Linked DNA regions of Callithrix jacchus. The protein of the gene in region 1 purifies or fractionates together with the protein of each later gene. This does not show direct contact. Links are inferred from orthologs where the notes say so. Each region holds a gene or a part of one and is shown in the gene's direction. Other genes may lie near its edges.

The links.
Region 2: the proteins of TCOF1 (region 1) and ARRB1 purify together in Homo sapiens (affinity purification with western blotting; 5 studies listed by BioGRID and IntAct, with this or other methods). This does not show direct contact. The link is inferred for Callithrix jacchus from reciprocal best matches to the Homo sapiens genes TCOF1 and ARRB1.

What each region holds. Positions count from the first base shown.
Region 1 is NC_133503.1:49,070,443-49,077,849, forward strand, and holds the start of TCOF1 (treacle protein), read left to right. Parts: upstream 1-3,528; 5' UTR 3,529-3,609; coding exon 3,610-3,717; intron 3,718-6,853; coding exon 6,854-6,909; intron 6,910-7,407.
Region 2 is NC_133511.1:65,596,380-65,604,100, forward strand, and holds the start of ARRB1 (beta-arrestin-1), read left to right. Parts: upstream 1-2,547; 5' UTR 2,548-2,660; coding exon 2,661-2,680; intron 2,681-7,721. UniProt on the Homo sapiens protein: Functions in regulating agonist-mediated G-protein coupled receptor (GPCR) signaling by mediating both receptor desensitization and resensitization processes.

The sequences.
Region 1 (7,407 bases):
CTACATCTGCACCCATCCTTTCTTTGTTCCTGCTTTTGGGTTCTAGAGAACTCATCCCTCCTCCTCCCCAAGACCAACCCCCCACCCACATGCCTGATCCCAGCCCCTCACACATGTCTGAGGGAACATTACTCGCTGATTAGCTCCTCTATTTCTTACACTCTTGATTAATCTCTCTCTCCTGGATCTGCCATTCACTTTTAAACAAATCTCAGGTCTCTGTACCTCCCCTAACATACATATTGGCCCTATCACTTATCTTTCTTATCCTCTTTACACAAAAAATTCAGGGAAGACCCACTGCCTCCCTCATCCCTCCTGCACTCATCAGATCACTCCCATCTGACCCCTACATCACACCAAACTAAATAGCCCTCCCTAAGGCCCCAACAATCTCCACACCTGCCAATAAACCAAAGCCCAGGGCTGTACCCTCCTCCTATCTCACCTCTCAGAGCATCCCCCCATCGAGTCTTCTCAGCTTCCTAAAATGTTTTCCTTGGCCTCCTTCCATAAGCCCACTCTCCTGGGCTTTCTCCAACCTGTCCAGCCACTTCTGTTCAGTCTTTGCAGGCAGATCCTTTTGCACACAGCCCTAATTTGTAAGTGTACCTCAAACTTCATCCTGGGCTGTCTCTCTTCTCTCTCCACATTCTCCTCCCTGAGCAAGCTTCTCATCCACAGCCACAATTATCATCTCTCTCTATCGACAACTTCTCATCTTCATCTCCAGCCCAGACCTCCACGCTGCATCCAAACCCAGGTTTCCAAGAACCTTCTCATCATCTGCACGTGGTGACCGTAAGGCATTTCAAGCTCAAGATGTCTAATGAAGAAGATATACTTTCACTTCTCCATCCACATCCTCCTCTCCTCACTCAAACCACCCCACTGTCTCAGTCCTCTTCCAGTTTTTTCTATCTCAGTGAAAGATACTGCCTACTTGTTTGCACAGAAACCTCAAGGTCCATTCTGACACTGCCTCTTCCTTCCCCTCCCATTCCAACACACCTCTGTGACAACTTTAGTTCCTGATTAACTCTGGGAACCTTCCACTGCTCTCCAACTCCACTGCCACCAGCACCACACCATCCCCCAACACTGTCTTCTCCCTGGATGCCTGCCTGCACTCCTAACCCTGACTTGTCTTCCCACAGCTACTCATACCCACCAGACACACTCCACTGTCCACTGGGAAGGCACGTGGGTCACAGTAAAATTCAGATTTCATCCTGTGTCTCTTGGGCTTACACCATCAGTGGCTTCCAACGGCTCTTAGGATAGAGAAAAAAACCCTTGACATGGCCAGTCCTTCACATGGAGTCTGCCCTCTGCTCACCTTCTACACTCCCCAGTCCCCCCCCCACCCCCCCACTCTCCCTCTGGGCTCCGATACAAAGGCCTTTCCTTGTCTCTTCTCTCAGCTGTACCTTCTGCTTCAGGCCCTTTGCACAGGTTCTTCCATCTGCTCAGGTTTCTTATCCCCGGCCCTCTCGTACACATAGTTCTGGTTTTCTCATAACCATCAATTTCTCAGGGAATCCTTCCCTGACTCCCAAGAAAAAAAATAGATTCCTCCTTCCTGTAAAATGCTTTCACAATAATAGCACACACGCACACGCACACAGAGGGCTATTGTTCAGAGCTCTTCTAAGCATTTCTGCTGAGAATTCATTTACTCCTTATGACAACACAATGAGATAGAAATTATAATTATCTCCATCGTACAGATAAAGAAACTGAGTCACAGAGAAGTTATGTAACTTATCCAAGATCACCTAGTTTGTGAGGCAAAGCCAGAATTTGAACCCAGGCAGTGTGACTCCAGTGCAGCTTTTAAACACTATATTATTCCATAAGAAAACACTATTAATTTTCCTTCCTTTGCCTACTCGAGGTTCGGAACACTGTGTTGCATGGCTATTAGTTTAGCGTGTGTCTTCTCCATTAGACTGCAAGCTCTACAGGAGTAGAGATTGTTCAATCGGCAATAGTAGGTGCTTAATAAATATTTGCTCAAGAAAATAGAAAATGTGAATGTGTATAGGCAGGTAACATTTTCCATCCAAGTTCAGGACAAAGATAAGCACATACCTGGACCTTCTAGGGTTAGGGACTCCTGCTCCAGAAAGCAACGTACTGCCATCAGATTCTCAATGGGTCCATGAAATTAAGAACAGCTGACTCTCATATTCTCCAGCCTACCTCACCTTTTCCCCGCCAGCCTTCCCCCAACAACTATAACAGCCTCACATTTAGTATTAATAGTATGCGCTTTGGTCTTAGCAATCTTTTTTTTTTTTTGAGATGGAGTCTTGCTCTGTCACCCAGGCTGGAGTGCAGTGGTGCAATCTTGGCTCACTGCAACCTCCACCTCCCGGGTTCAAGCGATTCTCCAGCCTCAGCTTCCTGAGTAGCTGGGAATCACAGGCGTGCGCTACCACGCCCAGCTAATTTTTTTGTACTTTTAGTAGAGAATGAGTTTCACCTTGTTGGTCAGGCTGGTCTAGAACTCCTCACCTCGTGACCCACCCGCCTCGGCCTCCCAAAGACTGGGATTACAGGAGTGAGCCACCGCTCATGGTTTAGCAATTTTTAAAAACACAAAACAAGGTCAACCTTTGAAAAGCCAGTCAGACTATCTAACATCCTCAGAGCAAAGTCCCAAACTCTGCTGGGAGTGGGGGTGTTGTAGGCCTTGTCTACTTCTTCATCCTCATGGGCTCTCATTTGTTTCCTCTTCCCCACCCCACCTCGATAGCCCAGCAGCACAGACTGGGTTCTGGGTTTGGGTTTCCTAGGCAATAGCAGGGTGTTTTCTCATGCCTAGACTCATGCAGTGCCCTCTGCCAGTCGTTTCCTTTGCACCCAGCAATTTCTGCTCTGTCTTTATGCATCAGCTTAGATATCTCTTTGGGGTTAGGTGCTCTTCTTTGGGGCGCCTATAGGCTGCATCGGTCCCTGACAATGTACACCAGATATTGAACTATAGCTGCTTAGTTACAGACAGTCCTCTCTGTGAGCCTTGAGGTCATCTGCCATGTATTATGCATCGTCTGAATCCCCCTAGCCTAGCCGGGTGCTAGCCCAAGTTACGGTGCTTACTACAGATTTGTTCAATTAGTGAATGAATGAATAAACTGACAACTCGTGTCTGGTTCATGGGTACCAAAAAATGTGTTAAATGAATAAATGAGAGAGTAATGGCAGTTCGAAGTTCAGGTCTAGAGAAAGATCCAGATTAGGGCGTTCAGAGATGAGTGAAACGCAGCCTTCAGAGAATTAACAAGGAAGATAAATCTCTTCAAGGAGCCAGCCGGAAGGATTAAAAGAGTCATCAATTACACGGCCGGCTCCGGGGTCGGGTCCCTCTCTAGCCCCGCCCACTCCGCGCCAATGGGTTTTGTTTCCCTCTAAACCCCGCCCCTTTCGCTTTGAGGGGCGGGGCCGGCCACTCCAGGAAAGGGCACTACGTTTCCCGGCGCGCCGCGCGGCCGGGGTGAAAGAGGAGCCGGAAGTGGAACGCGCGAGGTCTAAGGGCGCGAGGGAAGTGGCGGGCGGGGACTAAGGAGGGGCGTACAGGTAGCCGGCAGGCCGGGGGTCGCGGGCATGGCCGAGGCCAGGAAGCGACGGGAGCTACTTCCCCTTATCTACCACCATCTGCTGCGGGCTGGCTATGTGCGCGCGGCGCGGGCAGTGAAGGAGCAGAGTGGCCAGGTAAGTGTTCGTGGGCCGTGTGCGAAGGCCGCGTGCAGGATGTGGAGATCAATGGCCCGCGGCCCGCCCTCAGGCGACCCGGCGGGCGCCCAGAGCCGGGTCCCGCCGTGCTCAGCGGCAAGGGCCACGGGTACCAGAGGAGCCGCAACCTCTGCCTCGCCACTGCGACTTCACTTCCCCTGGGCCTCACTTTCCTCATCTGTGCAGTGGGCGGGCCGCAACGTGTACTCGCAGGGGCCGAACTTTGTAATTCCCGCGTCCCTTACCTCCTCCCCCTTTTTGGTAGCGGCTGTTTTAAGTTTCCTAAGTCTCCCGCCACGTGGCTAGGCCCAGCACAGCCCCCCTGGGGCGAGGAGGTTGCTGCGAGATGGATGGCGACCAGCCCTTTGGGGCGCGCCTCGAGAAGGTATCCCACAGCCCCTTAGTTGAGCTGGAACTCAGGCCCTTAACGATTGTCTGTACTGAGACGGACAGCTTTGGGACTCGAACTCGTGGTACAGTCATTTCTTACTTGATTGATTCATTCAGCTGTTAGTCCAGTACTCAGGGTACTTCCTGGGAGATGCTGAGCACCGTCTTCCAGCCCTCCTGGAGCTTACACTCTAGTAGGGTAGAAAAATCAAAGAATCACAAAAGTGAGTATATGCTTAGCACTACATTAAGTGTTAAGAATGAGAGGGATGGGCTGTGCACGGTGGCTCACGCCTGTAATCCCAGCACTTAGGGAGGCTGAGGCAGGCGGATCATCTGAGATCAGAAGTTTGAGACCAGCCTGGCCAACATGGTGAAACACTGTCTCTACTAAAAATACAAAAATTAGCTGGGCTTGGTGGCTGAAGCACGAGAATTGCTTGAAGCCAGGAGGCAGAAGTTGCAATGAGCCGAGATCGTGCCACTGCACTCCAGCCTGGGCGATAGAGTGAGACTCTGTCTCAAAAAAAAACAAAAAACAAAAGACATGAGACGGGTGGCAGATTGCCCTAGCCAGGACTGCCTTTCAAAGCAAGTGGCAGTTGATTTGAGATCTGAAGAAAGGGAGGTGAATATTCCAGGCTGAGGTGTAAATGCCCTGTGGAGGGAGGGAACTTGTGTACACACTGGCCTCGAGAAAGTCCACTGTCTTGAGCCTGGGAGTTTGAGGATACCGTGTGAGCAGTATAAGTCATGATTGTGCCACTGCACTCTAGCCTGGGTGACAGCAAGACCCTGTCTCAAAAATAATTTTTTTTCGAGTCCATAGCAGGCCAGGTTCCATGGCTCATGCCTGTAATCCCAACATTTTGGGAGGCTGAGCTAGACTGATCATTTGAGGCCAGGAGTTTGAGAACAACAGCCTGACCAACATGGTGAAACCCATCTCTACTAAAAATACAGAATTTAGCAGGGTGTGGTGGTGCGCACCTGTAGTCCCAGTTACTTGGGAGGGTGAGGCAGGAGAATCACTTGAACCCAGGAGGCAGAGGTTGCAGTGAGGTGAGATTGAGCCACTGCACTCCAGCCTGGGCAACAGAACGAGACTCCATCTCAAAAAGAAAAGAAAAGAAAGTCCATAGTGGTTGAAGTGTGGAGTACAAGGGCCAGATGCCCCTGGAGAGATGGAGGCAGGGGGCTGGCTGGAGTGGTCTGGTGGGCAGTTTAATATTCCTTGGAAGAGCAATGGAGAGTTTTGAGCTGATGAGACGGTATCCTGAGTAGTCAAATCACTTTACCTTGTAGTTTAGGCTCTGTTTCTAATGCTTACTGTTAGAACCTCCTGGAGGGACTAAAGGGTGAGGGATGCTAAGGCGTTATCTATGCTTTTCCCGATTATCTCTGAACCTCATTTGCTGTTTGTACTACAGTTACACCACTTCACAGGTAAGGGTAGTCTTCATTGGAGCAAAGATATTCTGCCCTCATGGAGCACACATTCTAGTAGGAGCAGACAGGTAACAAATAGAAAAAGTTTAATAAGTTAATGATATAGTATATCCAGTGATGGTTGGTGCTTGTATAAAAATAAGGCAGGCAAGGGATATAAGTGTTATCAGAGTTCAATTATAAGTAAGGTAGTCAGGGAAGCCTCATTGAGAAGATGTCATTTGGATAGCAACCTGAAGGAAAGGAGGGGTGAGCACCTGGAGTCAGTCAGAGGATTAGTTAACAGAGGAGCTCTGCCTGACTCCAGGTGCTGCACCCTCTTGGCTACTCTGCCCAGCTTCCAGACACTCTCCACTCCTGCCCCACATTGCTTAGCCTTTTTGGAGTACTTGATATCCTGGCTTCTTGACATTTACAGAGATAGTGGGCTCTCTGGCCTCTGCCCCAAAGGCAGAAGTTCCCCTTGGTTCCTTCTGCTTCCTCCAAGGGACTGGTATCTTTTGGGCCCAGTCTTTTCCCAGCAGACTAGTGGACTGTGATCATGCCACCTGGATGCCTCATCTGGGCTATGGTTCATGCTTTGGAAATATTGGCTGGCCAAGTCTTTGAAAGCCTTTTTAAAGGTCAAGGGTGGGAGAAACCCTGTCTCGTGCCCTCTAGGCACTGATAGTGCCAGAGAGGCTGGGGGTGCCAGACAGGCTGGGGGCTGAATAAATGCTAGCTTGGAACATTACAACTCTGGCCTCTCAAAGGGGCCTCTCACCATGTTGTCCAAAAAAGTTTTAACTGGAATTGTTTGTCCTTCTTTTCTCTGGAAGGTTTTAGATGAAACTGGCAGGGCCAAGCAGATATACCCAGAGCAAAAAGACCCTCTTTTTTTTTTAAGGGTCTTGCTCTGTCGCCCAGGCTTGAGTGCAGTGGTGCAAGCATGGCTCACTGCAGCCTCGATATCCTGGGCTCAAGTGATCCTCCCACCTCAGCCTTCTGAGTAGCTGGGACCACCAGTGCATGCCACCATTCCCAGCTAATTTTTTTTTAACATGAGACAGTCTCGTTATGTTGCCCAGACTGGTCTTGAACTCCTGGGCTCAAGCGATCTTCCTGCCTCAGCCTCCCAAAGTGCTAGGATTACAGGTGTAAGCCACCATGCCCAGCCGAAAAGACTCTCTTCTAAACCACCTATCTGTGCAAGTCATGAGTTTGGGGAGAGCTGGGCCCAAGGAGGACCCTTACTGTGCTGGGGGTTAATTGTGGCTTTCTCTTTACCTCTCTGCAGAAGTGTTTCCTGGCTCAGCCCGTAACCCTTCTGGACATCTATACACACTGGCAACAGTAAGTGGTGGGGCTGACAGGGTGGAGTAGGGACACCCCAAGCAAATCAGTGTGGAATAAGCTGGGATACCTGTCTGATCTAAGATCTGTCCCTATAGCTCACTGTGGACACCATTGTTGCCTCCAGAAAGCCGGTCACAGCACATGAATGGGGATATCTGGTAGTGGGAGGGGACATTGAGAGCTGTGATCTCTTAAGAACAAGAGCTTCTAACCAGCTTGTTTATTCAGTTGATCAGCATTTATTGATTACCTCCTAAAAGCCAAGTCCTGTTCTTACTTAGTATGCATGTATTGTCACAAGTGAGACAGACATGGTTCCTTCTTTCCTGCAGCTGACATTGTAGTCAAGGAGGCATGAGTCAAAGAATGAAACAAATGAATGTAAAATTACGGTAGTAGTAAGGATTACAAGAGAGAAGAACCTGTTGCCACAGCCACATAAATGGGTAAGCTTCCAGACACTTCATTTGGAGGTCCAGGGGAAGCTTCCCTGAG
Region 2 (7,721 bases), on another chromosome or scaffold:
CCTGGGCCACATAGTGAGACCCCATGTCTACGAAAACTAATTTAAAAACTAGCTTGGTGTAGCGGGGCACATCTGTAATTCCAGCTACTTGGAAGACCAAGGCTGGAGGATAGCTTAAGGTGAGGAGTTGGAGCCTACAGTGGCATGATCATAGCTCATTTCAGCCTAAGTGACAGTGAGACCGCAACAGGGGGGGAATAAAAAGAAAGAAAAAGGGCAAAGAGCACTTATGTCATAGACTTGTATCAAGTAGCAGCACAGCCCCACCTCATGGAGTTTACAGGCCAGTGGGGATGTCCAGTATTTGGAATCCTGCATGTTGACTCCACAGTCTACCAGTCTGTTCAGTGTCCCTAAATGTCAGAGCCCTGCTTCGCAAGCAGTGAGAAGGGAGGGGTTACCTGAAACCACCTGATGCATCTTTCTGAACTGTTTCTTTTGCTCGGAAGTAATTAAAAACATCATTTTTACAGTAAAACAAATACAAATATTTAGTGGAATGAAGAATTTGCATTGAGTTTTAAAATTTAGGGCCAGGCACGTTGGCTCATGCCTGTAATCCCAGCACTTTGCACGGCCAAGGTGGGCGGATCACCTGAAGTCAGGAGTTCAAGACCAGCCTAGCCAAAATGGTAAAACCCTGTCTCAACAAAAATACAAAAATTAGCTGGGCATGATGAAGGGTGTCTGCCTCCCCAGTAGGGGAGGCTGAGGCAAGAGAATCATTTGAACCCCAGAGGTGGAGGTTGCAGTGAGCCGAGATCATGGCATTGCACTCCAGCCTGGGTGGCAGAGCGAGACTCCGTCTCAAAAATAAAATAAAATAAAATAAAAATAAATAAATTTAGATGTTTTGGGCATCAGCATGGGGAGATCCATTGGAGATCATCTGGTTTGGTCAAACCTATTTTATCAGTGGGGAAACTGATGTGAAGCCTGGCGGGACCTGGCCTCGCTATCCTGGTTAGGGACTTCCTGTCATCAAGGAAGAGTCTGGTCTGCTCCTTTCCAGTTCTCTGACCCCTGCAGAAACAACAGGTGGCTTCCTCTTCTTTCCCTGTCGGGGTGACGGTGAAGCCCAGAGGCCAAGACTGGGAGGAGGGTTCATCCATATTCTCTAGCTCTTAACACTGCCCAGAGGTGGGCCACCCTGCCTACCCATCAGCCTCCCCCTGCCCCTCTGCCAAATCTGGACGTAATTATAGTAATTATGCTGCATATAAACAGTATAGGTAACTGCTTCTGGACATAATTACAGGAGATGTTTGCATACCGACAACAGCATCAGAGTAAATGATAGCTTCCTTTTCCCTTAATACTCAGATATCAGGGACCTATTAGGGCTAATTAGCCAAATCTCAGTAGTGAGGGTGTAGGAAAAACCTTACAATTTCCCACTACCTGCAAAGCAGGAAGGCACCTCAGACAAAGCAGGGTCCCAGCCAAGATTTCACAGGACATCAAGAAGCCTGCAGAGGAGTGAGCTAACATCTGCTGGGCACCTACTGTATGCAGGTACTCAGGGGAGGTCAGCAAACACAAGCGAGTTCTTTCAACCTATGAACAATTCTGCAGGCTGATATTAGTGTATCCTCACTTTACAGGTCTGGACATGGGTTCTCAGAAGCTTGGTGTACAGGGTCACCCGCAGCAGGCCACGGCGCTGGGCATGGACGCTTTCCACCGTGCTACCCAGCGGGAGCAGCAGGCCAGCTCTGCTTTCTTCCTTTCTCGCCTCTTCTCACTTCTCGAAGCTTCCTCTTTCCGGGTGGCCTCCTGCAGCCCCTGCTAACCTCTGGTCTCTGCTCAATTCCCCAGCGTCAAGGCCGTCTACTGCCCCCTCCACCCCTTCTTCCTGTCCCCTAGGGTGGTTCGGTGTTACCTCTCCAGATGAAGGGGGTGGGGTTGGGTGAGGTGGGATGGGATAGGGAAGGGTGGAGCACAGGGCAAAGGCCTTGCCAGACATCCTGGGGTCTTCTGCTAAGCTAGGGGAGGCAGGGAGCTCGGCCTCGGGGTCGCCAAACCCTCGGGTTCCAATCACCCGCACACACAAAGGCTGCCCCGGCATGCGCGGGAGAGCGCGCTCGCACCCACGGCCGTGCGCACACACGCACAATTGCACAAAGACGTGCACACTCCTCCATCCACACCAATACACTCCCTAACAGGGCTCGCACACAGCCGTGAGCCATCACGTACACCAAACCACCACCACACACACACACACACACGCACACACACACACAGGCTCACACACACACGCGCGCGCGCGCACACACACACACACACACACAGGCTCACACACGGACGCACACCCGGGGGGACACCCCCAAACGCGAACCTTGGGGCCCTGACGCGTCCAGCCGCACTGCCCTGGCTCGCTGGGCGGTGCGCGCACACGCAGACTCGCACACACAGACACACACGCACACACCCCGCGTGGTTCCACGCCCCTGGCAGCGGCCCGGGCTCTGCGCGGCTCCGCGCGGCAGGCGGCGGGCGGGGACCGGGGGCGGGAACGGCGGCAGCGGCGGCGGCCGGGAGAACGGAGGAGGCGGAGCAGGGAGCCGGGAGCGGGCTGGCCCGCGCTCCTCCTGCTGGCCGGGGATTTTCCAGCCTGGGCGCTGACGCCACGGACCTCTCTGCGACCGTCGCGGACCATGGGCGACAAAGGGACACGGTGAGTGCAGGGTGGCCGCCGGGCGCGGGGCGCGTGGGGGCGACCTCGGCGAGGGCATGGGCGGGGGCTCCGATTGCGTCCTGGTTCTACGTTCAGGGCCACCCTGGGATCACGTACCGGTTCTCCTCCACCCGAGGTCTCCTGTGTGGTCTCCGGCAGGGCCGTGGGCGGTGGAGACTAAAGGGCAAGGGCTGGGCCGCCCCATGTGGGCCGCGGCTCCTGGCCCGGACACACTCGCAGCTCGCTGACACCCAGCACTGGCCAGCAGGCGCAGAGACGCACGGAGGCAGACTGACACACAATACACGCACGGACCCACTAACCCGTGGCACATGCATGCTGGTGCACACACTGGCAGCCGCTGGCACACGCTCATCACGCAGTGGCACACCGTCACACACGCCTCAGTCAACACTTTCTTGCTGACAGCCTTGTTGGCATGCACAGGTCACACTCCAACACACACCAGTTCTAACACACCCTAGTGCTGGTATACACGTGTGGGCATACACTGATATGCACACTGTCACCTGCACTCGCTGTAGCAAACACCCTTGCTGGCACACATATCACTCTCACTGGCACACACACTTGTGCTGCTGGCAGGTCTCACCACAGCGGAGCGCAAAGCCACACCAACACTGACCCCCACAGACACAATCAGACTGATGCCTGCAAAGACTGGCACCCTACAGGCACAAGCTGCCAGCTCCGAGGCCCGCTGACACACATGCTCCAGGCCCCACATGGCCAGAAGTGGAAATACACACATCACACAGGGTAGAGCACTCCCCACCACCCCCAGCCTTGGGAAAACAGATCCCATCCCATCCAGATCCCATCCATACCCTCTGCTCCCTTTTCTCTGACCTCCTGAGGAGTGGCTGGCCAGGAGCTCTTTTGAACCTAGGGCTGGGAGAGCCCCTCTGTTCTCCTGAAACCTGGCCTGAAAGACTCAGAAAGAGGCAGTCTATGCCTCTGAAAGGGGAAACTGGGATAAAAGGGGAAGAGGCTAGAGCAGGGCAGCCCCTGGGGGCAGCCCTTCAGATAGGACCAGCACTCCTCAGGGGCTCAGCATTGTCACCCAGTTTTCCCCGTTGCCCTCCCTATCCACTAAGTCTGCACATAGCCTCTCCCTGGGGTCCCCGTCTTACCCCCTTTCCATCCCTCTTTCTCATTGTTTTCTGTCTTCCTCCCCTCCTATCCTTGTGTCCACCTTCTCCCTCCTCCCTTCCCTCCCCTCTCCTTGTTTCCATTTATTTATTGAGCTCTTGCTGTATACTAGGCATATTGTGGGGGATCAAAGATGTGCAAGGCCCCTTCCTCCCCTGAAGGAACTAACAAACTAGAGAGACCACCCCAGAGGGCACCACCTTTCAGGGCCACTGCCATCTAAGGCTCTCTCTCAACAGCATGAGAAAGGGCTTCCAGAGATTATTTCCATTTTCTAGAGGAAGAAACTAAGTCTCCGAAGCAACTCAAGCTCTTAATGTTTAGAAACTACTTTCCAACCATCCTCCTGACAGCTCTTCCAGGAGGTTAATTTTCCTTTTCCTGTTTTCTAGCAGAGGAACCAGAGGGTTAGAGTTGTCATGTGATTTGCTTAAGGTCAAGATGGGTTAGAGGCAGGGCAGAGGCTGGAGTCCACTTGGTCATGTCTCTGTGGATGGCCCTAGGGCACTGCCAGGCCCCTCATGTGCCAGGGAGGGGTGCTCTGCTCTGTGCTGGAGGCCCAGGCCTTTGAGGGAGACTGCAGAAGATCATGGTGTCTCTGAATGCACCTCGATGGCTAGTCCCCATTGCAGCTGGCTGGCCAGCACTGTTACCTAGGCCTCTGTCCGCAGGAGGAAGATGTGTGACTCCCTCCCCAGCCGCATCCATCTGCCCCGAAATTAAGACTCTCTTGACCCATGAGGTCGGGCTTTTCTTCCTGCAGGGCATGGCAGGGAGTCTGAGCCATTCTCCCCTCCCGTGTCCTTCCTGGGCTGCCTTGTGATCAGGGTGACTCAGCCTCTCTTGGGTCTCTCTGTATCTCCCTGTGACTTGGGGGGATAAGTGTCATTGCTGTCCTGCTGACATGGATTGTCAGAAAGATGAGGACACCATGGGCTTCCAGGCACCTGCTGGAGACCCTGTCTCCGAGGCCAGGGTATTTTCCATGACTCCCCCTGCCCTGTCTTGAACCCACTGGTGGACCTTTGGGACATTGGGCAATTGCCTTTGCCTTTCCAGACCTTAGTTTCCCATTTGTAAGTTGAAGCTATATCAATACTTCCATTTTAGGGCTCCCCTTGTATACTTACTGACTTTGCTGGGCAGGGATAGAGGCACTGCCTGAAGCCTAGAGCCAAGGCCTGGCTAAACCCACCTGATGGTGGCCCTGACCTCCCCCTCAGACTCTCCTGCAGTCCTATGAGGACTTTCTTTCCCTTTTCAGACAGTTTGCCAAGTAATTTGGAAGAGAAGGGCAAAATCAGGAATGGGCTGTACCCTGTTTTTTTTTTTGTAAGCCATGAGATTCTACTTTATCTATGACTAAGAAAAGGAATCTGCAGATATCTAAAACTGAACATCAGGAACTATCGAATCCATCCCTCCATCTGGAATTGCACCCCCATATGAAAGTGATAATGAAAATTTTCATTTAGTTATTTATTTTTTTTAAAGACAAGGTTTCACCATGTTAGTCAGGCTGGTCTTGAACTCTTGACCTCAGGTGATCCACCCACCTTGGCCTCCAGAGTGCTTGGATTACAGGCATGAGCCACCACGCCCCGCCAATAATGAAAATTAATCAGAAACTGTCACTGCCTTCTAGGAACTCCCAGGGCCAAGGGGAAATAGGTGTTAAATACCTGGGCAGGGCTGCAAATGGTAGCTCACTCCCGTAATCCCAGCACTTTGGGAGGCTGAGGTGGGCAGATTGCTTGAGCTCAGGAATTCAAGACCAGCCTGGGCAACATGGTGAAATCTTGTCTCTGCAAAACATACAAAAATCAGCTGATGATGATGGCGCACACCTGTAGTCCTAGCTACTCAGGAGGCTGAAGTGGGAGGATCACTTGAGCCCTGGAGGTCAAGGCTGCAGTGAGCCATGATCACTGCACCCTGGTGCAGCCTGAGAGAGTGAAAAAATAAAAACAAAATATCTGGACAGGGTTAGTTACAGGGTAGGAGTATGATGGTTGCTGTAAGGTGCTCTGGGAACAATCTTGTATTCATTCAACAAATGTTGAGTACCTTCTGAGTGCCCAGGGCCTGGGGATTCAGAGAGGAGAGTCTACACTGTCCTCCAGGGATTTAGAGCAGAGCAGGTGGTTAGAAAGCAGGATGACATGCGTTGTGGGAGGCTAAAGGAGAAGTCCCCAACCCAGGCCCAGGCAGGGAGCATGGCCAAGGAAGCCTTCCTGGAAAGGAGGTTGTGTTAGAACTACTGAGCTTCATCCGAAAGGATGAGGAGGCCAAGGGGGTGGGATTGGGAATGACATTCCTGGCCGAGGTTGCACAATCTGCAATGGCTCGGAGGCAGGAAGCAAGGTGTGCAGCCCAGGGCCTGGATGGGGATGACAGTGAGCCTTAAGAGGTAAACACAGGCCGGTCACCAGCAGCCTGGGAATGTCAGGCTAAGGAGATAGCATTTTCTCCTGAAGTAGATGGTGATTCAGAGAAGAGTATGAGGCAGCAGAGGGATGCAAGCAGATGCTTTCATTTCAAAGAGATGTCTTTGGCAGCGCCAAGGGGGATGGATGGGAAGAGCAGGCCTGGAAGCAGGGAGACCAGTGAGGAGGCTGGGGAGAAACCTGAGAACTGAGACTGCGAGCTCTGAACTTAGGCTGCAGAGAGGATAGAGCTGAGAAATATGAATATGAATAAGGAGGTGGAGTCCATCAATCTTGCTGGTCGATTGGCCCTTTGCCAGGTGTCTGGTGTGTGTTAGAATTACACACATAAGCCGGGCACGGTGGCTCAAGCCTGTAATCCCAGCACTTTGGGAGGCCGAGGCAGGTGGATCAAGAGGTCAAGAGATCGAGACCATCCTGGTCAACATGGTGAAACCTCATCTCTACTAAAAATCCAAAAAATAAAATTAGCTGGGCATGGTGGCGCGTGCCTGTAATCCCGGCTACTCAGGAGGCTGAGGCAGGAGAATTGCCTGAACCAGGAGGTGGAGGTTGAGGTGAGCCGAGATCGCGCCATTGCACTCCAGCCTGGGTAACAAGAGCGAAACTCCGTCTCAAAAAAAAAATTACACACATAATCTCAATGAATTCAACTGTAATCTGGTAATGTGGGGATTGTCGTTCCCATTTTGTAGATGAGGAAACAGACTAGGAGAGAGTATTTGTCCACTGCCATTCAGCCAGCAGAGGCTTAAGAACTCAGGCCCACAAAGCCCTCTCTGCTACTTGACACTTTGCCCAAGTGAGGGGGCCTTGTCTGGCTCACAGTTGGCCTCCCTGGCAGCTCCCAGCCTCAGGTTGTGCTTTGCTGTTCCCACTAACTCAACAGACAACATGAAGGATCAGATTTAGACAACAAGAGGGACTTCCTGAGAGGCAATGGAAGGGAGTGGAATTTCCTTTCCTGCATATGTTTATGAATTCTTCTTTTTTCAGAGAAAGGAGGGTGATGGGGACATGTAACCACCAGCTCTCTGTGAACTTTGGCTGTCATTTCTCTTGGTGGTTAAGCCCTGTGTGACCCATCTTGTATGGAACATGGGGAAGTCCTGTGGCTTTGGCCAGGCCTGCTCGTGGGGCTGCTGGGAGTGGTGCGTCAAGCCTGGCTCACTGTCTCTGATCCCTGATTCCAAGCCAGCCTCTGGGCTTCAGACTTCTCCAGCTTTCTTTCCCCCAAGTTTGGGTCTCCTTGCCTGAGGCTTATGCCTCCTGTTGGCATGAGTCCAGAGGCCCGGAGGTGTGGGCTTGCCACTTCCAGGGCTTCTGACACTTTGGGGTGGTGGCAGTAGAGGAGCAGGCTGGGAGTCAGCACACCACAAGTGAGGTCCTGCCTCCACCTGGCCATCCTCTGCTGTTGCCAG